Linked DNA regions of Danio rerio. The protein of the gene in region 1 purifies or fractionates together with the protein of each later gene. This does not show direct contact. Links are inferred from orthologs where the notes say so. Each region holds a gene or a part of one and is shown on either strand. Other genes may lie near its edges. The genes, in order: exoc7, exoc6 and exoc6b.

Region 1 (8,554 bases):
TCATCCACTCTGCAGATCTCTCGCACACCCACATACTGAATGAACCCCAAACCATGATTTCTCCTTCACCAAACTTGACTGATTTCTTGGAGAATTTTGGCTCCATGCTGGTTCCAGTAGGTCTTCTGCAGTATTTGTGAGGATTGGGATGCAGAACAACAGATGATTCATGCCACTTTCCCAAATGATCAACTAGAAGTCAAGTTATTATTTGTTGCTCTTACAACTGGAATCAACGACAAGACTTTTGTCACATAGTGTATATGAGTAATGATGACCTACGAATGCCGATATTCTCAATTGTGGTAATTTCAAATGTAGTACCTACTCGAGTAGTGTGTGATTTTGGTTGAAGTGTGAGAGAGTGTGACAGACGTACCACGGTGTTAAGCTCAGGGCTGTCAGGGTTGTTGTCCTGAAAATACTCCACAGCTTTCTGGATCTTTGCAATGCAGGCCAGATACTCGTACAGGCGACCAGCAGGTCTGCAAGAGAAATTATTATGAAACCAAAATGAGCACTGATTGGATAGTCACACTTTATTTCATGTGTTATTATAATGACACAGGCTCATCCGGGAACTTCACGTCCCCTTGACCGTTATGTTTTACCTATATCCACATTCAAATGTAGCTGCTTGACTGTCATGTTGCGATTTTTGACTGCTTGCTCCAGTCTTGTGAATATACAATATGTAGGTTAGTGTATAGTCCAGGGGTCGGCAACCCAAAATGTTGAAAGAGCCATATTGGACCAAAAAAACAAAAAACAAATATGTCTGGAGCCACAAAAAATGTAAAGCCTTATATAAGCCTTATAATGAAGGAAACACATGCTGTATGTATCTATATTAGCTATATTAGCCTACTATAAAAATGACTAAATTGGCTACAAATACATAATGAGCCTTCATGATTAAATAGCCACTGAAATAAGGTGGTTGGTATTTATTTTGTTGTCATTAAAACACTTCAGCACAGCCTCTTGTCTTTTAGTGGTATTAATTTGATCATTGCTTCTTGCGGCCCATCAGAGTTCACATACCTGCAAAAAAACGCGTTGAATATCGGTCACATCACAGGCAATTGAGTATGCTGGCACTGAATTAATGTTTTTAAAGTTTGCAAATAGGTGTTCTAATATGTCATACCATATTTGAACGGTTTTCCATGCTTTATTATCTTCCGGTTTGTTTACAACAGCCACCTGCCTGGCATCCCGCCCTGCTGATAGAAACCTGTGTCGCAGGCTATGACGCAAATCTTCGTTGACAGAAATGTTGAAATTAAATATTAATTCTACACACTTTGACAGCATTTGAAAACGTTAAAAACGTTTGTCCTACTATAGAAATCATATTAAAACAAAAAATATATTAACCTCCCCCATCTTTTTGCATTTTCAAACATTTTTGAAAAAGCTCCAGGGAGCCACAAGGGCAGCGCTAAAGAGCCGCGGGTTGCCGACCCCTGGTATAGTCCATTCAACTGCTTTGGTTTCTGTCAGCGTTGCATTTTTGACTGTTTAATGCCATCTAGTGGCTGAATAATGCACAGGTTAGTGTATATTCCATTTAGCTGCTTTTGCTTCTGTCAGCTTTGTGTTTAATTTAAAAACGTGTGTTTAATTAAAAAACAAATAGAATATTACAGCTACAAATAATGTTTTGCATGTAATTTTAATGATTTGTGGTTAGTAGCCATGTAATAAGCGGGATAAAAGAACATCGAGGATGGTTTGTTTTTCATAGAATGAAGCCTTTTAGTCTTATTCAACAGTGTTCTGCTTTGAGTCTGGCTGCCGGTAAATATGTTGGGGTTTAATCTGTGATAATAACCTCCTGCATGTACTTTATCTGTAATAAATTGCAGTCAAAATTTAAAGTGGTTCAATTTTTCTAATAATTCAACGCACTGGTGTCAATTATTCCGCATATACTCTGGTTTCCACAGCTAAAGCCACTGTTAAGATGTTATATTTTACAAATCGGTCAGGTTTTTGACCTCAAACTGCTCCTGTGTGTAGGATTAGTTTCTTCCACATCTCCTCTAAAGCCTTCTGTTGTGCTGTGATGTGATTTTTGACTGTTGTAGCTGTGAAATAACTAAAATCATTTGGTGTGGTCAAATGCAGCTGTAATGAACCCAAAACCTGCCGGAACTGCTTTAGCTGTGCGTTTGTCTGTACACTGTGCAGATTTTAGCACCAACCCTAATCAAACACACCTGAACAAGCTAATCAAGGTCTTACTAGGTATACTTGAATCATCCAGGCAGGTGTGTTGAGGCAAGTTGGAGCTAAACCCTGCAGGGACACCGGCCCTCCAGGAGCGAGATTGGTGACCCCTGCTGTAGAATGTTCATCAGCCAATCAGAATCAAGCAAAAAGTGAAATTAAAACTTTTAATAATAATAATAATAATCAGTGATGCAGTAGGTAGTGCTGTCGCCTCACAGCAAGAAGGTCGCTGGTTCGAGCTTCGGGTGGGTCAGTTGGCATTTCTGTGTGGAGTTTGCATGTACTCCCTGCCTTCGCGTGGGTTTCCTTCGCGTGCTCCGGTTTCCCCCACAGTCTAAAACAGGTGAATTGGGTAGGCTAAATTGTCTGTAGTGTACGAGTGTGAATGAGTGTGTATGGATGTTTCGCAGACATGGGTTGCAGCTGAAGGGCATCCGCTGCGTAAAACATGGATAAAACATGCGTGGACAAATTGGCGGTTCATTCCGCTGTGGCGACCCCGATTAATAAAGGGACTAAGCCGAAAAGAAAATGAATGAATAATAATAATAATAATAAACCATTGAATAGGTGATCACTAACCCTTCCCGGATGATCTTGTCAGTGTCTTTGGCCACGTGATAGTAGCTGATGACGTGATCCATGTTGGACAGTGTTTTATCCACATTCTCCTGCAGCCGCTGCAGATTCTCCGTCTGCTTGTGAACCGGGATGATGGAGTTTTCCAGCTGCATCAGACGACTCTCAAATGACGACAGGATGGACACCTTAAACAAATTAAAACACACGTTCACCATTTCATTCACAAATACCAACCACAAAATAATACTTACAATGGATATATTAGGAAAAAAGCTACTTGTAAAACAAATATCACTGTACAACACTGCTGAGCACTGACTTTACATGATCGAACCAGAATGACACACTAGTGTTATTCACATTTATACAACAGTTCTTTCTGGTTCTTCAATCTGATTGGCTGAGTAGTGGCACGAGTGGCAAGGAGGACAACAGTTTGACAAATACTGCAGCTGTTGGACAACATAATGTACTTTTGAGCCTTTTTAGGCGAGAATGTAGTTGTTGTGATTGCAACTATGCAGTTTATTTATAAGGATAGTGCCTATTTAAATATTTTGAATTTAAGAGCATGCAGATTCAACACGTTGGCAGTCATCAGCCTGTCATACTGAGCAGAGCAAAGACGGTTGACGTTCCTTTTACCCTAATAAATAGACCTAATAATTAGCCCTTAGGTGTTAGCATATATTTCAAACTAAAGCTAAACAAATCTTTACAGAACAGCCAAGTGACTTTCTAAGTCAATCTCTCTTTTGTTTGTTGTATTGCTCTATTTATACCATAGTAATCTGGTAGTGTTTGCTTTGCTTTGGTTTTTTCGGGGTTAATTACAGTGATCTCCCAATTGCAATAGAGAAATACTGGGAGATATCTTTGTAGACTGATGGCATTTCATGCCGTTCAGCTTTATAATCTTAAAATGTGTGCAAAATCAGCTGTTTTGTCATCACTTTAGACATTACGCAAGAGAATCACTCAAACACTAGCTCTAAAGTGACGTTGGTGAATGAGCAGCGGTTTCTACTGTTCTGACGTCAGCTGCAGATGTGAATAAACGGCGGAAGAAAGTAGTTCCTCATACAAAAGGATTTTTGAAACTCTCCATGTCGAATTCTCTTTTGTTATATACACAATTATGCGGTTGAACTGTTGTATAAATGCAATATCACACTCATAGCAGTGTGGTATGGCTGTATATCATGTGACATTAAGATACTCTGTCTGCGGCCTTGAGCCAACACACGCCTCCTACCAGTGCCAATATACAGCCATATCACACTGCTATGAGTGTGATATCACTCATATAAATATAAATCTCTCACCATTCCTTTAGTGAGCTGATCACTCTTCTCCAGGCTTTCACGGATAAAAGAAAGCGTTTCTTGCTCCTGTAGATGATAGATACAATGAACAGGTCAAGACATGTGTTTTTTATTAGTGCTTTATGTTGTTTGTATAGTGTTTTAGTTAAATTCATATAGCAGGATAAAATGGTTTTTGGTTATGAAATTTGCATCTGTGAATATGGTACTTTCTAAATATTATCAAGAAATTATTAACATAAGTTTTCTTCTCTATTTTTTTTTTGTTGTAGTTCAAAAACCCAAATATAATATGTTGCTATTCTAAACGGAAATTTGTCAATAATTTGTCATTTATGAAATTGGTCATTTATCTCGTACCCTATTTTCTTCGATAACTGGCAATTCCAAAACATCTGCGGCACAGTTTCTGGCTGTGATAAACAAACTGAACAGTTTTGATCTATATTATGTCTAAACATTGAAAGAAAATGTTTGACAGGGTAAAATATATTCAGAATTTTAAATGAGACCTCTTTAAATTTGTTTGTAATAAATAATTTGTTAGGCAACGACCATAATTTTTTCCAATTTAAATCTCTGATGAACGCAGACCAATGAGAAATTATCTAGGGTTTACTATTTATGAGTGAATGAAATAATGAACGTATGGCCTTATTTTGGTGAGAAGAAAAACAAATTTTCCCACATAGTGTATCTTTAGGGTGTAACAGAGATATTTCCTGAATATGAGTAACCTTCACAGAGTGAAACAATACATAGGGGAATAGCAGCAAAGACCATTGCAAATTCTATTTAGGACACAGGAAAATTAAAATGTGATAAAAATTCATTAAGTAACCTTGGGAATTTAGTACCTGTCCCACCAAAAAAATTCCTTTTCAAAACAATTTTTTAAGAACAAGCTTTTATGTTTGTACAAAATTACTGTTTACATTTTGTATGCTTGAGATGTATGCAAATTACGTCATTATTTAATTAATTACTCATTTATATGACACAAAAAAACTTGTAATCGAAAAATGTTTGCAACTCTTAATGTTATCAATCAGCTGGGTGTTGATTTCCCTACTCTTTTCACCTGCAGTGTCTTGCTTAATAACACATTTTGTACGCCCCAACAGCTTATTTTATCTCTATTATTCAGCTTTCAATAATCTTTGTGACAGGCAAACAAGCAGATATGACGCTAGTTAAATCGCAAATGACATAAATAACACTGTCAGATCACGGGATTCTCATGTTATGCTTCATTCTTCCCGTTTTTCCTCTGTTTAACAGACCTGTTTGAGTTTCTCCTCAATCTCCCGCTTTCTGGCGGACGCGTCTTCGGTTGGGATCATCCTGATGGTCAGAAACACGATGGAAAATACAACTGGACCGTCCGGACCAATGTAAAATACACAATAATATTACAACATTAACCCGAAGACAGCGATAAACAACACGACACAAACGGAAGCCAGTGAAGTACAAAATAAAAGTCCTTTCTGAACCAAGTGTATCAAATGAAACAGAAGCAAAACAATATTCACTATTAAAAAGAAATACATATATGACGACAAAAAGGTAAAAAGTGTACTTAAATGAAGTGCGGCAGGAATTTATAACTACTAAAATGACAAGAAACATAGTGATATTCAATTTATATACAGTATTTATAACGCAACTGTATATACTTATATTATACATATTACCAAATTGTAGTAACATACACAGTAAAATTACATATTATAAATGCATATTTTTTTACGATTATAACAATTTATTATCAATTCAAGTTTCTCAAAATCTTCGAGACTGAAGTTGTTAGGGATATATTTAGTTAACGACTACTAAATATATGTATTCATAAGATCTTAATTTTTATAATATCCTTACCAAACAAAATTATATACAAAATAAAGTTGAATAAAGACATACACTAAATCAAAACACATGAACGCATACACCTTTAACCATGCACCAAGCAACGCTTTAATCACGAGTGCTTTCAAAATCCATGGGACTCTTATTTTGATGAAAAAACCTGATGGTGTGATAGTTGCTTCACCTTCACTGTCTGGTCAGAGATTTAGGGAGGCTCCTGCTGTCAGATTGTCCTACCTCCCATTCAAAAAGTAGGTAGTATGCAACCCATCAGATTTTGCTATAAGTGTAAATGTTAATGTGGAGCAGTGTCATATGAAGCTGTAATATCACCCTAACCTACCTAATCCCTAACCCCAATCTCAGAACCATTCAAACACAGTGTTGGTAGCATATTCTGACAAGTAGGATAAAATGTCAGGACACTCTCTTTATTTTTTCATTCACTCAATATGACACAATCATAAACTTTCATAAAGCACACAATCTCCCCTTCCTCCAAAAATAATTTACAGCAGTATATAAATATGTACATCTGTCAACAAAACAGAAGCGTAATGCATGGTGTCATGCAACGTTAAGTAACAAAACACTCTGTTAAGTTCATTATTTAAAAAAAAACATAATATAAAGTTAAAGATATCTATAAATGTTAAAGAATTAGTTAACAGGTTGTGATTGTTACACTACAAGGAAAAAAAAAACCACAATTCAGCCAAGTGACCCTTTTAGCTCACTTAATATCAGTCTGTTTTATAAAATAACATAATAAAAGTTCACTGATGAGTGATTTCTCAAGGTCTGCTCCTTTTTAAGACTCCTCTTGTTTTGTGAAAGCCTGCAATAAACATAAACAACGTCACGTACTTTTTCATTAAACTAGGATGATTTGAAGAAGATATTTAAGATGACTTGTAATAATAAGTCACAGACCTGTTTCAGAAACTGCCTTCCGAAGTAATTTGTTGCCATGTTCTTCAGGTTTGTTCGGGCTCCTACTTTACAGCGCACATATCCGTACAGATTAGCTCCCTGTAACACCACACCCAAAATCACCACCGCCTGAAAGAGAAAGCAACGTTACTCACAGACACTCACATATTCAAGACCACATGAGTTCATACACAATCAGATATAAATTGTATTTATTTATAGTAGGGCTGCACGATATTGGAAAAATCTGATATTGCAATACTGTATTTTAGACAGCTAGAATAAAAGCAGTTATTAATTTTTTAAACACCATTTTAAGGACAATATTATAAGACCCTTTAAGCTATATATTTTTTTGATAGTCTCCACAGATCAAACCACTGTTATACAATAACTTGCCTAATTACCCTAACTTGCCTAGTTAACCTAATTAACCTAGTTAAGCCTTTAAATGTCACTTTAAGCTGTTTAGAAGTGTCTTGAAGAATATCTAGTCTAATATTATTTACTGTCATCATGGCAAAGATAAAATAAATCAGTTATTAGAAATGAGTTATTAAAACTATTATGATTAGAAATGTGTTGGAAAAATAATCTCCTCGTCAAACAGAAATTGGGGGAAAATATAAAAAGTGGGGCGAATAATTGTGACTTCATTTTACATTTACATTTAGTCATTTAGCAGACGCTTTTATCCAAAGCGACTTACAAATGAGGACAAGGAAGCAATTTACACAACCAAGAGCAACAATGAATAAGTGCTGTAGGTAAGTTTCAGGTCTGTAAAGTCTAAGAAGGGAAGTATAAGTAGTATTAGTATTTTTTTTTTTTTTTTTTTTTTTGGTACAGTTAGTGTGATATTCAAAGAGGCAATTACAGATTAGGAAGTGTAGTGGAGACTAAATAGTTGAGTTTTTAGTCGTTTCTTGAAAGTAGCGAGTGACTCTGCTGTTCTGATGCAGTTAGGGAGTTCATTCCACCAACTGGGCAGATTGAGCGTGAGCGTTCGCGAAAGTGATTTCTTCCCCCTTTGGGATGGAACCACGAGGCGACGTTCTTTCACAGAAGGCAAGTTTCTGGCGGGCACATAGATCTGCAGAAGCGAGAGCAGATAAGAAGGAGCAAAGCCAGAAGTCGCTTTGTAGGCAAACATCAGAGTTTTGAATTTGATGCGAGCAGCAACTGGCAGCCAGTGCAAACGGACTAGCAGCGGAGTGACATGTGCTCGTTTAGGTTCATTGAAGACCACTCGTGCTGCTGCATTCTGGAGCAGTTGAAGAGGCTTGATAGAGTTAGCTGGAAGCCCAGCTAGTACTTCAACTGTATATATATATATATATATATATATATATATATATATATATATATATATATATATATATATATATATATATATATATATATATATATATATATCAATTAAATGGTTTCAATAGATGGTCTGAATAGCTCCATTTGACGTTCTTCTGAGGGATCTATCAGTATTCAGGCACAGAAATTGAATTATCACAATGCAAGTTACTCAGCGTTTCTAGTCCAAATATCTAAAGATATAATTTTATTTTAACTTTCAGAAATAATAAGTCAAAATTAACTAGGATTTTTCT
Region 2 (8,439 bases), about 39 Mb from region 1:
TCGTTCAATTCCACCTGAAGGTTTTTTATTTCATGCAAGACTGACTATTTGAATATTATCTGTACACATTTTATCCTGTTTTTGGTCATATAGACATCCAACTTTGTGAAATAGTATATGAACTTCGGAAATATATTAATGACAGCCTTCCTGTTTTGCTTCTTGTGTTACAAGAAAAGCATGTGCAAACATATTTTTTAGAAAAATAAAAAAGGATCATCACATATTTCCTGTTTGTTGGGTCACAACCTCAACTTGTTGTGAAGCAGCAAGGAAACCATTTGTTACATCAACCGATTGCAAACAGTACAGGCTTTTGTAATGTGTAATGTTGTAATATTTGTTCTTGTTAAATGTAATCAAACACTACTCTTATGCTGGATATTCTTTCTTATATAATAAATGATTACATTTCATAAAAAATCCTACATTACCATTTAAAATTTTGAATTCATTAATTTTTAAAAATGTTTTTGGATGAATTCTTTGCTCACCTTGGCTGCCTTATTTATATTAAAATTGTAAAATAGTTTAAAATAAAAATACAGTTTTATAATAAATGTATTCCGGTAATAAAAGCTGAATTTGAAGTCATTACTCCAGGCTTCTGCGTGATTTTTTTAGAAATCACTGTAATATGCTGATGTGAACAAATGTTATTATAATTATATATTTAATATTATTATTGATCAAACATTTATTTATTTTTATCTAGTTTTATCTTTGATGACTAAATGTTTTCTGGAAATATCTTCGAAGAATAGAAAGCTAAAAAGAACAGAGTTTCTGTTCTTTGTTTTTTTTTTAAACAGAAATTCTTTGTAACATTAATTATAAATGTATTCACTGACATATTTGATCAGTTGCCTTCCTACTGAATAAAAACACATTTTATTTATTTATTTTCTTTATATTATTTCCCTTAAAATCTGAATCGTGTAATGCAGTTTCCACCAAAATATTAAAGGGCACCTATTTTACCCCTTTTACAAGATGTAGGATAAGTCTTTGTTGTCTCCAGAATGTGTCCGTAAAGCTTCAGCTCAAAACACCCATCATTATTATTATAGCCTCCAGAATCTGCCCATTTTGGTGTCTGAATACATTGTAAATGTTTTAGTATAGCCTGTGGCTTTAAATGCAAAATTGTTGCTTCTCCCAGCCCAGCATGCGTTATGTCAGGTAAACAGCACAGTGACAAAGGCAGACATGGATAAAGCTGAAATACAGCTCATTTGTCAAAAATACCAAGTATGTGTTTCATGTATCTGTGGTGTTTATTCAAGCCTTTCTGACATGATGAGTCTCAAACAAATGCTGTTTGCAGTACTCAAACACATATATTAGCGTTTACTGACACCATGTGGCTGTGGTGATTATAGTGGTTAAGAATTATATAGTGATTTTACTGTCTTTATTACAAACATGCTTTTGTTTTTTTGTGGGCAGGAAAAAACTAATCCTATGTCACGTTGTGTTGGGCCTCAAAATCACTGGGATTTGGGTCCTATTTTAACATCAGAAAATTTAAAAATAGAGACTTATTGGGTTTTTATCACTCCAATATGACTTTGAACACACTAAACCCACACACAGTTCTGTCCAAACAGCTTACAAAAGTTGATTTTCATCATACTGTAGGTGCCCTTTTAAGCAGCAAAAACGGTTTAAAACAAATATTAGAAATGATTCTTTATTAATGATTCATTCTTTATTCTTTAGGTTTATAATATTTGCTTAAGGATAGTATGACTGAAACAATCACATGAATAAATGACATTTTAAAATATATTATATTTTAAATATAATATATATATATATATATATATATATATATATATATATATATATATATATATATATATATATATTTCTGCTTTTACTGTATACTAAGGTTAGTTCACCCAAAAATGAACATTTCTTCATCATTTACTCCAACCCAGGCTCATTCTGAAAACGTAGTGCCGTGGATGTTTCTGGAGGCCGAGAAATACGTCCCGGGAGGTATGTATGGTTGCATTTCGTTTTTTTAAGCGAACGATATGGGGCGGTATGACGTTGTTCCCTTTCGCGCTTACCGGCTGAAAGCTTACCTCCGTGTGGAGGGCTTTCCCGCCGCAACCAGTTTGTTCAGTCAGCTCATCGTGTACGTCAGCAGATTTTCAGATGCAGAGAGGTGGAGTTGAGTTGACCATGGCGACCGGGTTCGAGTTCGGGAAAGAGCCATTCTAAAAATAAGGTAAGACAAAAAAAGAATCCAAAAAGTAAAGCGATTGACTTCGTAACAGGGTGAGAACATGGTGATATCCGAAAACTTGGTAAAAAAAAGCAGACAAGGGCTTTTATTTTTATTTTAAATTTTGTAAATTGTTGGTTGGGTTTAGGGAAGTAAGTGGGGGGCTGGTCAATAGGTAAAATTGGTTCGGTTTAGGGAAGGAGAAGGCCGGGTGGGTCAGCCGATTGGCCGGTCGCACAGTCAATCAATCAGACAGTCAGACAGCAGCCTCTGATGGGTTTACGCGCGAACGGCACTCGCGAGAGACATTTGAGATGCGAAAAAGCCTACACAGCGGCCTCTAGTGAATTCGCGAAAAAAAAAAAGAAAAAATATATTCCGCAGTCTCCAGAAACGTCCACGAGACTACGTTTTCAGAATAAGCTTGGGTTGATTTACTCACACTTCAATAGTTCTAAACTTTTATGAATTTCTTTGTTCTGTTGAACATGAAACAAGATATTCTGAAGAATGCTGAAAAAATATTCCAACCCAGGCTCATTCCAAAAACAAAGCCCCGCGGACGTTTCTGGAGACTGCGATTTACATGGCCGGAGGTACATATGGCCGCATTTCGTCGGCTCTGACGGCTCACCTCCGTGTGGAGGGCTTTCCCGCCACAACCAGTTTGTCCGCTTAGCTCGCAGTGTTACGTCGGCAGAGCGGAGGCCCGGAGAAGGAGGAGGAGCCGGCCGCAACGACGATGACCGGGATCGAGTCCGGGGAAGAGTGGTTGCAGAAATCAGGTAAGATGAAAAAAAGAATCCAAAAAATAAAAGCGAACAAGTTCGTGACGGGGCGAGAATGCAGCGAAACCCGAAAACGTAGTCAAAATTGGATGAGGGCTTTTGCTTTTTTTTATATATATATTTATTTCCGGACAGCTTTTGTAAATCGTCGCTTGGGACAGGTGGTCGCTCGACAGCGGCCTCCGGTGGCTTTTCGCGTGAGAACAGCGTTGGCGCATACGGCGCGCACTCCCGAGAGGTGTTCGAGACGCGAAAAAGCGCGCACTGCGGCCTCTTGCAGATTTGCGAAAAACAAAAACTGCACAAATATGTACCTCCCGGGACGTATTTCGCGGCTTCCAGGAACGTCCACGGGGCTACATTTCCACAATGAGCCTGGGTTGAATTATTCAACATGTCTTTTTTGTGTTCAACAGGAGAAAGAAGCTCAAACAGTTTCTCAAAAAGACCATTTTTATTTTTGTGGTGTACTATCTCTTCAAGATCAAGAGTAAATTAAGCTTTTATTTTATTATTATTCTAAACTTTTTAACAGTAAGCAAAAATATTTAGCATACTATACAATATATGCTTTTCTTGAGTGACTTTACTACCATAAAGCACAGATCCCAGTCCAGCGGTGTGATAAATCTCAAAGCACAATTTGCCAATATTTAACAGGACAGCACTTAAAGCCTGTTTTGTTGGATTCAAAGTACTAGAGATCACAAGATCTGTCGGTTTTCCTCAGCTGCAGTTTTCTGCTGACAGTAGTGTGTTCATGTCCTGCTGGAAACACAGTTCAAACCAGCACACAGACCATCATGTACGACAGCAGCAGCAGCCTCAAGATCCCCAGCAGTCCCCAAGAAGAGGACAAAGCTGAAGGAAAAGTCTATGGGAATGTTTTTGCAGAACTGGAATCAGTAGATCTGCCGCTGGGAACGAGTTTAAGGTAGAGTGACTGAAATAAAATAATGTTTTGTTGTGTTTAATATGTCCTTTTTTTAAGCAATGACATGTAATAATTATTTTTAATGTATTAAGTGTTATTACAGATAATGCAGGCATAGTGCAAAAATATTTGCTGAAACAACACAATTCTTGAGGTTTTTTTGGGGACAACTTAATTGTTTATGTTCAATCCACTTAAATTTTTAAATAAATAAATAAATAAGTTAACTTAATTCCTTCACGTTGCCCCAACACAAATCAGATGTGTGGAATCTAGCAGTTTTACAGTGTACACTCAATTCATTCATGTTGCTCCAACACAAATCATTTAAGTTAACTTAAAAAACTGAAGCGGATTGAACATAAAACAATTAAGTTGTCCACCCAAAATCTCAAGAATTGTGTTGTTTCAGCTCAATTTAAACGAGCAGTTTAAACAAGCAAAAAAAATATGTGTTTGTTTGTGTGTGATTTGGTTCCGTTATGACAATGTGCATTTTATTTATTGGATTCAGATGAAAATAAATAATAAATAATCTAATTATGCATAATTATGCTCCTAACTATCCTTCTAATTATGCTTCTCCATAATGATTCTAATATGCAGCTTGTGTGCTTGGTAACAGTTGTTGATGTTGAAATCTGATGTTTTTGCTGCTTATTATTTTTGTTGAAACTGAGTAAAACTACTATTTGAAAACAAAAAAGTTCCTTTGAGGAATAAATGTTCTATTTAGTAATATATCCGTTTATAAATAGATTGTAATTAGCATAAATTAAAATGATTCTTGAGCATCAAATCAGCATATCAGAAAACTAAAAATTCAGAGAGATTGATGAATGAATGGATGGATGGAGGGATAAAATTATGCACTGTATAAGTTTTCATGTTCACCCCGTGTTGGCATGGGTTTCCTCTGGGTGCTCCGTTTTCCAAAGACATGTGGTATACTGTAGGTGAATTGGGTATGATCAAATTTAACTTATGGGTGTATGAATAAGTGTGGGTGTGTATGGGTGTGAATAAGTGTGTATGGGTGTTTCCCAGTGATGGGTTGCAGCTAGAAGGGCATCCGCTGCGTAAAACATATGCTGGATAAGTTGCCGGTTCATTCTGCTGTGGCGACCCCTGATTAATAAAGGGACTAAGCCGAAAAGAAAATGAATAAATGAATAATATTTCACATTGTCATTTTACTTTATTTTACTACAAAATACTTCTCTGAAAAAACAAACTTCTAAAGATTCCAAATATTTGACTGGAAGTTTATGAAATACAAATATATATTAAATTACATATATTTATATATAAAGATATAATAGCGACACTGTCCCAATCTAAAAACACTGATGTGTCCACAAATCGACACAAAAAGTATTGACTATTTTCCAGAGATACCTAGATCAGTTAACCTTGAAACTATTTCGCTGACTAAATAATATAATGGTGGTACTGGCAAAATTAAAGGTGTATGACAAACAAATGGAAACAGAACTGTTAATTTACCCATTTTAAAGCAATCGAAGATAGGCATGGCCAGGTATAAGATTCTGACCATATAATAACTTTTAAAATATACTCTTTTTAAATGTCTGGGTAAAAAAACTAAGCTTTTTCCCCTTTCAAAACAATATATTTAAAAAAAAAAATTTTTTTTTGGAGCAGTAAACATGTCAGGCTAAATAATTCAAATGAATCATTGACTTCTGCTGTCTTTATTAGTTTCAAAAACACAGATTTATTTACAATTTAAATCAGCATCTTCGGATGTCTTTTCTGCTGGAGATAATGTGGACCTTTAAATGAAAAAAAAAAATCGTACACATACCTTAGAAACGGTATTACAGAAAATTTTGGCAGTTTTGAAAAAACCTTGATTTTTTTTCAAACCGCGGTATACCTTGATAACTTTGAGAGTACAAAAATAACAAAATACAGGCAAAACAAATTTAATACTCGTAGCTCCTTACAATACATTAAGGTATCATGCAAGTAAATGAATATTAATTATATTATTGCTGAGGCTGTGAGTTAAACTGAATAATGATATAAAATAATGCTCGATTTCTTAAACAGGCTAATCATTTTGCTGTAGTTGTATACAAGAGCCTTATTAATTTTACTTTGCCCGTTAATAGCCTATATTTTGACTGTAAAATACTAAAGGACCTTTTTATGAATCACAGAGGAGCACGGTTTTAACAAAAAAACTTTAATTTTTTTAAGTGAGTACATTAACACCAACTTTTTTGGTGAACTCTCTCTTTAAAGCAATTATTTTGACAAAAAAGACTGAAAATCAGTAACTATCGACTTTCATAGCATTTGTTTTTCTCTACAATGGGTCTTAATGATTACCTGTTTACAACATTAATCACAATATCTTCTTTTGTGTTCAACACAAGAAGAAAATATAAAGATATGAAACCATTTAAGGATGAGAAAATAGTGAATATACTATGTTAATTTAGACTTTGTTTGGTGAATTACCCCTTTAAGAAGAACATTTCAGTTCTTTAAATGTGTTGAGGTGAAATTTGTGCCATCTATATTCAAAGAAAGCATACTTGAACACGTGTATAAGTATAAACTTAGTATTTTAGCTCTGCTCAATCCGCATAGCACAAAATCTCCCAACTATTGACGTTCTATCGAGCTTTCAGTCTGACCTGCAAAGGCTCTGCTCCCTCTTCCGGCGGAGTCGTGTCACTGCATCTCTTTCGGCATTGTCACATATGAACACTGTGACGCTTAGAGCCAACATGGCGGAGAGCGAGAGCTTGGAGACTATCACCGAACATGAACGAATATTACAAGAGATCGAGAGCACGGACACTGCGTGTCTGGGGCCGACTTTACGGTGAGAGATGTGCATCGTCTGCTCTTATTTAACGTTCAGCTGGTGACGTGATGTTTCCCTCTGTCTGATGGATGGAAAGCAGGCCTTTGTTTGCTAAAGATGCAGCTCAGCAGGACTTTATGTCATTGCTGATGAATCTGTCGAATAAAGTGCTTATCTGTTGAACGTGAATGTTTGTACCCATGTTAATCCGTCATAATTATTTAAATGGACTCTGTATGCTCTGCTAATACTGTACACATACATTCAATGGCACAGGCTGCTGATCGCTGTTTTCCTGTCATTCGTGTGCGATTGACTGATGTTATAAGAGGATTATTTGTCGTAATTAGCCATTCATTTGTCTGTTTTCCTGGTTGATGTTGTGATGTAATAGCTAATATAAGATGTAAACATCTGACTTGAAGCATCTGAGGCCCAGTGACGGCATCACTGCATTATGGATATGACTGAGCTGTCGACAGGTGGAAAGCTCGCAGATAAACATAGCGTCATTTCTTTACATTTAGACCGAATTTTTAGGTTAAACACGGCAGTATTCACTTCATTTCCCTTTGCAAACAAATTTCAGCTATGGTAGAGCTGACGAAATGTCGTGGGTGTGGCGTTAGCAAATGAGTCTGGAGCTGGGAAATTAATATTCTGCCCCGAGCTTCACTGTATCTGTGACTGGATGTGATGATTTCAGCACTTGCTGGCATGCCATCATATGAATTTTGTCCATTATGCCTATTCACTACTAAGGGGATAGTTCACACAAAAATAAATATGCTGTCGTCATTTACTCTCCCTTCACTTGTTTCAAACCTTTATGAGTTTCTTTCGTCTGTTGAACATAAAGGAAGATATTTTGAAGAAAGCTGAAAACCTCTAACCACTGACATCCATAGTATTTGTTTTCCTGCTATGGATGTCAATGGTTACAGGCTTTCAGCGCACTTCAAAATATCTTATTTTGTGTTCAACAGAAGAAAGAAACACATAAAGGTTTATAACCACTTGAGGGTAAGTAAATGACTCTATTTTTATTTTCCGGTGAAATATCCTCTTAAAAAATATAGGTTTGGCGTTGACATTAAGGGTTTCATGAACCTTAAACATAAATGAATCCAAAACATAGGAAATCTGAAACATTAGTCTTGTGTAATAACAATGAAATGACCCAAAGAGAGAAAGTACTGAACTACTAATATTGTGTATTTTATATTAGATTCAGGTCAGGGGATTGGCTTGGCCATTCTACAGCTTGATTTCCTTTCTCTGAAAGCATTTCAGAGTTTCCTTGGCTGTGTTTTGGATCATTGTCTTGCTGAAATGTCCACTCTGGTTTCACCATCATCATCCCGTAATGTAAATATTGGACTGAAGCAGCTAATGTTCATTTACATTGACGAAGGGCAGAGGGTTGCTGAAGAACTACTAAGAGATTTCAGCTGCTGTCTGGGCTTTCACTGCCTTTCTACACCATCCTTCCTACATGTGTTCAATACTTTTTCCTTGCGCCATTTCATTTTGTTTTGCATAACTTGATTTGTGAACTAATTCGATTTGTTTTCTTTGCATGTTTAGATTTCTTTGGTTGTTAAAATATTGAAAATTTCAAGTCATGGCACCTTTAGAA
Region 3 (7,728 bases), on another chromosome or scaffold:
ACATCATACGTTCAGGTCAAGTTTATACAGGGTATATGCAAGAACCATAAAGGTAATTTCAATTTCTTTTAAGATTTAAGAAGACCATCTCAGAATATTTTAAGACCTTATCGTTACTTCAAGTTCTAATCAGTCTCAAACCTTTAACTTAATAAACAGTTGTTAATAAACAATTGTAGTTAAATAAATCACTGAAGCAAAACCATGCAACATAATGTGACAGGCTTCAGCCACTGTTTAAACTCGTCTTTCTCCAACCAGGAGTAATAAAACTTCCCATTCCCATCAGTTTCGCTACATGTGGATAGCGTCTCTTCACCTTCTGAAGCTTGACAGGGCATGCTCCGGCCTGAACCAATCGCGTGGGTTGAGTACACTGTTGTTAAAATTAGGAGGAAAATAAATATATTTATGATTTTTGAGTCAAACACTTGGACAACATTTGAACAAAATTTAGGACCACATAAAAACGTGATTAAGATTTTTTAAATATGTTTTAAGGGCCTTAATTTTCTCATAATTGATTTATCAACTTTTAATACTTTTTAAGACCCTGCAGACACCCTGTTATATTTGTCATTAGAGCATAACTGGACCAGGGCTGGTATTCTTAACTGAATTCAATTCACTTACAGCAGGGGTGTCCAAACTCCGTCCTGGAGGGCCATTGTGTTGGAGAGTTTATCTCCAACTTTCCTAAACACACCTGCCAGGAGGTTTCTAGTATATCTAGTAAGAGCTTGATTAGCTGGTTCGAGTGTGTTTGATTAGGGTTGGAGCTAAACTCTCCTGGACACAGGCCTTCCACAACTGAGTTTGGACACCCCTGATTTACAGTGAGTGAATTTGAAGTTAAACAAAAAATAGAAGAACCTCAGCATATTTTATTTTTCAGTTACTTTTCCACATCTTTATTTTACATTCCTACTTCATGTGTATATACTACACTCACAAAAATAAAGGTAGACTGGGGTGGTACCTTTACAAGAGGAACACACTTGTACTTTTAAGAACTAATCCATATCTTAAAAATATCAATATGGCGCCTTTGGGGAGAAAAGTGCAGCTTTTGAAAATTTAGGCTGTACTTTTTAATGAACAAAAAATCCTAAAACAGAAACCACAGTGAAAAAATGCTGGGTTCAATGATTCCTTCATGTTGTGTCACCACAAATGAATATGTTAACTTAATTGGTTTAACAAATGTAAATGAACTGAACTTAAAACAGTCATATTGCTCTTAGAGAAATCAGGAATTGTGTTGACTCATTTTAAGTAAGTAGTTTGAACAAGCATCAAGCAAAAACTTTTTTTGAGTGCAATATACATGTAAAGGCAAAATCATTAGCCCTCCAGTGAAATTTGAATAATTTTTCAAATATTTCCTGATGATTTTACTATTTCCTGATGCTTAACTGAGCAAGGAGAGTTTTCACAGTATTACCTACTAAATTTTCCTATATATAAGAAATTATTATGATTTTAATTTGCCTGAAAAAAAAAATACAAATTTAAAATCTACTATTAGCCCCCTTAAGATTTTTTTTCTCGTTTATTTTCTGAACAAACCACTGTTATGGCTTATTTATACTTCTGCGTCAAGCGCACATGGTCCGGAGCAGTCTTTGCACGGTCGCAAAGCCCAGGTAGGTTTGGTAGCGGTGACAAGTGTGGGCGGTGCTCAGAGCCACGAGCCCAATAGAGCTATTATTTAAGTGTTGAGTCCCGTGAACGAGCTCCAGATGGAAGCTTTGTTTTGTGTTCACCTCAAGATTAAAGTTGTTGCACGTCCTCCGGTTCCTGCCTCAGAATAAGTGCGTGTTAGATACTTGTAGCATTCAGAAATAAACAACACCCGTGAAGAAACTCAACACAGAGGAACATAAAAACCTAACGCCAGCTAGCGTTTTGAAAGTGTTATTGCAGAGCAACACAAACATCACGCAGAAGTATAAAGGCACAACTACGTGCAAGGCAGGAGCCGTGGGTCACACCGATCACTCAACGCTGAACTATAAATCAGCCTTTAACATGTTAATTACCTAATTAACTTAGGTTAGTCTTTAAGCTTAGTACTAGTACCTTACAAAATTTATGCACATGGCAAAGACAAAAGAAATGAGCTATTAGAAATAAGTTATTAAAACTCTTGTTTAAAATGTGTAAAAAAAAATCTCAATTAGACAGAACTTTAGAAATATTTGAAAAATAATACAAATTTCACTGGAGGGCAAATAATCCTGTCTTTGACTGCATGTTTAAGGTCTCATTTGTTACCATTAATTAATGTGTTAACTAAAATGACTTACCACTGAGAAATATATACATATATTATATATATATATATATATATATATATATATATATATATATATATATATATATATATATATATATATATATATATATATATTTTTTTTTTTTTTTTTTTTTTTTTTAAATCTTCAATAACATTACTTGATGTTAGGTCACATGTTAGGTTTGATCCTGTTCAGCAGAATTTCTAAGACAACTGCAATCCTTCAAAATTGCCTACAAGAACACAAGCATCAGAACTGGATATAAGCACAGTGGAAGAAGGTTATCTGGTCCAATAAATCCAGTTTAATTTGACATCATCTGGATGGCTGTGTGCTGTTTACCTGAGGAAGTGATGCACTGTGGCTGATGACAAGCAGTTGGAGGAAGCATGACTCTATGGACAATGTTTTGCCAGATAATCCTGGCACCAGCCATTCATGTGGACAAACCACTGTTGGAGACAAAGTATAGCCCTTCATGACAGTGACATTCCCTGGTGGATAAGGCCTCTTTCTGCAGGATAATGAACTGCCACACATGCACTTACAGATCAGAAATGCTTTGACAAAGATGAATCTAATTAGGCATCTGTGGGTTTATAATTATATCACACAGGATTGATGCAACCTACCTGACTTAAATTATCTGTAGATGTCTTGGTGCCAAAAAATCTTCCGTGGTCTTGAAGGGTAAGTGCATCAGTATCAGTTAGCATCAATAGCATATGAAGTACTGTAGGTCAAAATCTTTCAGCTCACCTTGAGAAGATGACCAGTGATAAAGAATTAAACCTTATTGTAATGTGTTCCAAAAAATGAATCAAACCAATTACAAAACTAACAAAACATGTCAAATAAAAACAAGGCATTTGTGTATTTTCATGTTTTGGCCCCGTTCTCAATCCATTTCTTTGTGCCACATTAAAAATGGGATGCAAAATAAAAGTACAGCACACGTTTTTGATGTATAACGCATTTGCTGGCATGTGCTAAATTTATTAGTATTGTAATATTCATAAGTGGTTTAAAATAACAATCTGTACAGTGCATTTCTCTGGAGTCAGTTCTGCTCTCTACAACCAGAGTGGTCCGCTAAGGCTGAATGTCCTCATGCACACTCACACACACCAACACACGTCCATACCTTGCTTATACATCCAGGTGCTGTGCGGAAATCAGTTATTGGCATGGAAAAAAAGTCAAGGCACAAACAGGAAGAGCTGAACCAAGAAAACAGCCTGAAATAATTTGACACTGTGCTTGTTCCGTCTCTAAACATGAAGAATTCCCTTTATAGTTTGCATCCATTGTAAGCGACAGGCTTCAATACACAAAGTAAAATGAAAAGAAAAAAACTCCCTTTAAACAAACAAACAAACAAACAATCTTTGCTACCTAAAACTCTTTGAATTTGAAAAGGAAAAATGGCATGTAATATTGCACCCGCAATCCTATCAGTAGAAATATTACCGTTAAGGGAAGACAACATGGTTTAAATACTAAAAGCATTTTATATTAGTTTTAATGTACAATGTGACTGTATAATTGTGCTATTACCCTGCATCATTTCATCAAGTTCCTCCACTTTACACATCTTCACTCAGTTCTTGCAATGAATGCTGGGTGATATATCTGACTACAAGAGACATACAGTGCGTCCATATACTGCATATTGGAAGTACAATCAAAAACATGTTTTTGACTGCGAACTAATCTTCTTAGGTCAAAAGGTATTAAGCTACAGTATAATCTACATCTTGGCTGTAACAGACAAAAGCTGAAGTACTGAATGTCTAGTATACAATTACTACAAATGAAAGATTTAACAAGGGCAGTAACTGGACTCCTTGTATTAAGAACTCCATCAAACGTCCCTCATTATGATTAGCACTCAGATGAACCCTTGACCCCTCAAATGACAATATTATTTCCTATTCTCAAAGATATTGAAGATATTTATTCTTGTTCAACCTTCTTCTGAAGAACACAAAATGAAATGCTTAGAAGCACTTAGACGCATTTCTCAAAACACATTTGTGTTCCACAGAGGAAAGAAACGATGAATAAATCATGACAGAACTTTCATATGTGGTTGAACGATCCTTTTAAATTTGATCTGTAAGACATCACAACAGCAATATTCAAGCCTAGTTAGTGTTCCAATTTTCTGCAATTTAATATTCACATTATAGTGTAACTGTAGCTGAAAATTGAAAAAAGGGGATAAATAATACTTAAGAACTACATATAAAGGCAGTTCAACGTATGACAGCAAATTAGTGTGATGGAAAAACGGTTCTGTTGTAAGACGCTTAATACACAAATAATAAAACACAACCAAAGAGCAAAATGTGATTTGGTGTCCTTAATGTGTTGAGACAGTCCCGCAGGAAGACATGGACACCGCATCACACAGGCACGGGATGGTTTAGCAGACGCACCTTTCATAGAGGTGCATCTATATGCGCATGTTAGTGCAAATGTCTGTGTGAAAAGAATAATACGTCCAGCTACTAGAGATGTGCCAGAGCAGTCCACACGCTCATCGTGACGTGGGGTCATTCGCTGAAGCATTGGCTTTCTCAGGCTTGGTTGGAGGCAATGAGATTTCTCAGCTGTTTGACAACGGTGTCTATGAGCTTCTGCTTGTCCCGTTCGTTTTTACGGAACTGGGCAAACATGTTGTTCTTGCGGCTGGTGTCCTTCATCCTGCACACAATGAAGCATATGAGAACATTAGATAATAAAAACAGACAGATACAACTCAATGGTCAAATATGGTTAAAAAAAAACTGGATGGACTCTAGAAAGATTCTTGCCCAATGGCTGTGCTTTCTCTAAAGTTTATTTATGATAAAATGTCTTTGTATTTGTTTAAACGATAGTTGTATGAATCTTTAAAGGACCCTTGAAGATCTTTGAAATGTGCATTTTTTTACTCGATGTTGTCATAATGCCAGCTGAAAAAATGAAGAGAAGGTGGGACAGAGTAGCTCGTCCCCTTTTACCAAATCAGCCAATGGCATTGTTTTTTCTCACAGCTCTGCCAGTGAGAGTGATTGAGATCTTGTGCATCAAATGAAAAGCAAATGTGAAGGGTCTTGAAGGGGGCGGGGCATGTCAGATACTAGAGAGTATTTGATTGGTCAGGATTTGATGAGAAACTGAAGTTTGAGGATAGGTGGAAAAAATTGTTGATTTATTTAGACAGAAATGACAAACTGCAAGATTTACATGTTTATATCGGTTTTAAATGTTCTAAATGTGATTTTTGTCACAGTTTTGGAGCACACCAACATATAGATGTCCTTAAAACTAACAGACTAAAACTTACATCTTACAACATTTTATTTTAATTTCATAGGACCTTTAATTCACCCACAAAAGCACTCATTAATCAAATGGTTTATGTTTATTTTTCTTTCTATCAACACCCCCCCCCCCCCCCCCCAAATAATGTGTTGTTACCCTGTAGACGAATAATTAGTAAAATAAGTAATTTTTTAAATCTAAAAAAAAAAAAAAATCAATTAATTAAAATCGGGCTGTACATGTAAGCAGCCTGTGCTGATATCCAATTTGTTTCAGAACATTTAACTAAAATACATTTCTCTTGTAACTACATCTCTTTTCTGAAGATGCGTTACTGACACAACTGCAGGACAATAACCTGTCGATAATCAGAGATCAACCAAAAGCAACCAAAAGCAATTCATTTAAAAATATATTGTTTGAACAGTTGTTTCATAGAGTATGCATAAAAACTCTGAACTTTGACTAGAACAAATAGAGAACAAAAAAGTAGCATGGGTTCACTACAGCCCAATCCAACAAAATGCATAATTTAGTTGACAGCTAGCTCTCTGCAACTCTCACATGGTCACCACCTGAAGCCAAGCAGGGCTGCGCCCAGTCAGTACCTGGTTGGGAGACCACATGAGAAAGCTAGGTTTCTTGCAAAAAGTGGTGTAAGTGGCGAGGCCTGTACTCTGTGTGGGTCCTAACGTCCCAGTATATTGATGGGGACTCTTTACTGCTCAGTGATCGTCGTCTTTTGAATGAGACTTTAAACTGAGGTCCTGAATCTCTGAGGTCATTAAAAATCCCAGGATGTCCTTCCAAAAAGAGTAGGGGTTTAACCCCAGCATCCTGGCCAAATTCGCCCACTGGCCTCTTGACTATCTCCATATCGTAATTGGCTTCATCACTTTGTCTCCTCTCCACCAATCAGCTGTGCAGTCTGGCACAATATGGCTGCCATTGCATCAACCAGGTGGATGCTGCACACTGGTAGTGGTCGAGTAGATTCCCCTCAAAAGCCGTGTAAAGCTATTTAAGTGTCCAAAAAAAGCGCTACATAAATGCAAGGAATTATTAAATTATTATAATTAATACAACCTGAAAGTAACATAAGAAATCATGCCATGCCAGTTAAAGCGTGTTGCACAACTAAAGAACTAAAGGAAGGGCACAGACTGTGTGGTTAAGGCACACACTCATAGGGTGCTTTAGTGCAGGAACCTTGAAGCTATCCTGCAAAGAGGTTCTAATGAGCCTGCTCACTTTCCTGCCATCTGTGCCAAACTCTCATTCCCAGTAGCCTGGGGATCACCCAGCCAATGCATACACATTCCTCACATTCACAACCAGCCAAACCGTGGCACTGCTCTCAGCACCAGGCTGACAAAATACCAAAGTGACGCATCATCATTCAGGCATTGAAAAAAAACATTCTTTTGATGTGTATAGTCTATCATCCTCAGCTTGAAAATGTAAGGGCAGTATATTAGGGAAAATAGTTGATGAAATTTAATGAGATGAGTGAGGGTAAATGAGAGTGAACCGCTGAACTGTCTATTCACATTATCCTTCAGAAGTCATTAGGATGTGCTAATTTAGTACTTAAAAACAATATTTTTGGGTTGACGCCTCTTGGAAATTTGCATCATAGCCAAAAATAGAAGAGTTGCTAATTCTGATTTTAGGATGACTAATAGTAGGGAAAAATCTAGAAAATGGTGAACCTAAACTTTGTTGCAACAAACCATTTTAATAACATTCACAGATTTCATAGAATCCATAAAAAACTACTAGGTTTAGAATAAGGGCCTTTCGAATACAGTAACTCTGTTTACAAAAATAAAAAAGTGAGTCTGTTAGCGAAGCATTTTAATCACCACTCACTAATTCAACTTAATAAACAAACTCTGTCAATCTTATTTATTAAAAGTAATTAGGCAAGATAGCCATGACACATACGCATGACTGTATTGCCATACTGGTACGCATCACAGCTTTATCTTAGAGTCACCTGTGACTATGGTGGTGATAAGAAACACCTCCTCATAGTGCGCAATGCCTACAATGTTGAGCATGAAAATTTGTGACCTCCTTCTGGAGTTCACCAAACAAGAGTTTTGAAATGGAG

Evidence for each region.
Region 2: the proteins of exoc7 (region 1) and exoc6 purify together in Homo sapiens (affinity purification with mass spectrometry; 4 studies listed by BioGRID and IntAct, counting the BioPlex papers as one, with this or other methods). This does not show direct contact. The link is inferred for Danio rerio from reciprocal best matches to the Homo sapiens genes EXOC7 and EXOC6.
Region 3: the proteins of exoc7 (region 1) and exoc6b purify together in Homo sapiens (affinity purification with mass spectrometry; 3 studies listed by BioGRID and IntAct, with this or other methods). This does not show direct contact. The link is inferred for Danio rerio from reciprocal best matches to the Homo sapiens genes EXOC7 and EXOC6B.

Annotation. Positions count from the first base shown.
Region 1 is NC_133187.1:48,856,560-48,865,113, reverse strand, and holds the start of exoc7 (exocyst complex component 7), read right to left. Parts: upstream 5,599-8,554; 5' UTR 5,489-5,598; coding exon 5,429-5,488; intron 4,264-5,428; exon of another isoform or gene 4,212-4,263; coding exon 4,146-4,211; intron 3,006-4,145; coding exon 2,821-3,005; intron 486-2,820; coding exon 380-485; intron 1-379. UniProt on the Homo sapiens protein: Component of the exocyst complex involved in the docking of exocytic vesicles with fusion sites on the plasma membrane.
Region 2 is NC_133187.1:9,638,338-9,646,776, reverse strand, and holds the start of exoc6 (exocyst complex component 6), read left to right. Parts: upstream 1-3,811; 5' UTR 3,812-3,827; coding exon 3,828-3,958; intron 3,959-6,689; exon of another isoform or gene 6,690-6,693; coding exon of another isoform or gene 6,694-6,818; intron 6,819-8,439. UniProt on the Homo sapiens protein: Component of the exocyst complex involved in the docking of exocytic vesicles with fusion sites on the plasma membrane.
Region 3 is NC_133182.1:25,277,998-25,285,725, reverse strand, and holds the end of exoc6b (exocyst complex component 6B), read right to left. Parts: intron 5,010-7,728; coding exon 4,883-5,009; 3' UTR 3,258-4,882; downstream 1-3,257. UniProt on the Homo sapiens protein: Component of the exocyst complex involved in the docking of exocytic vesicles with fusion sites on the plasma membrane.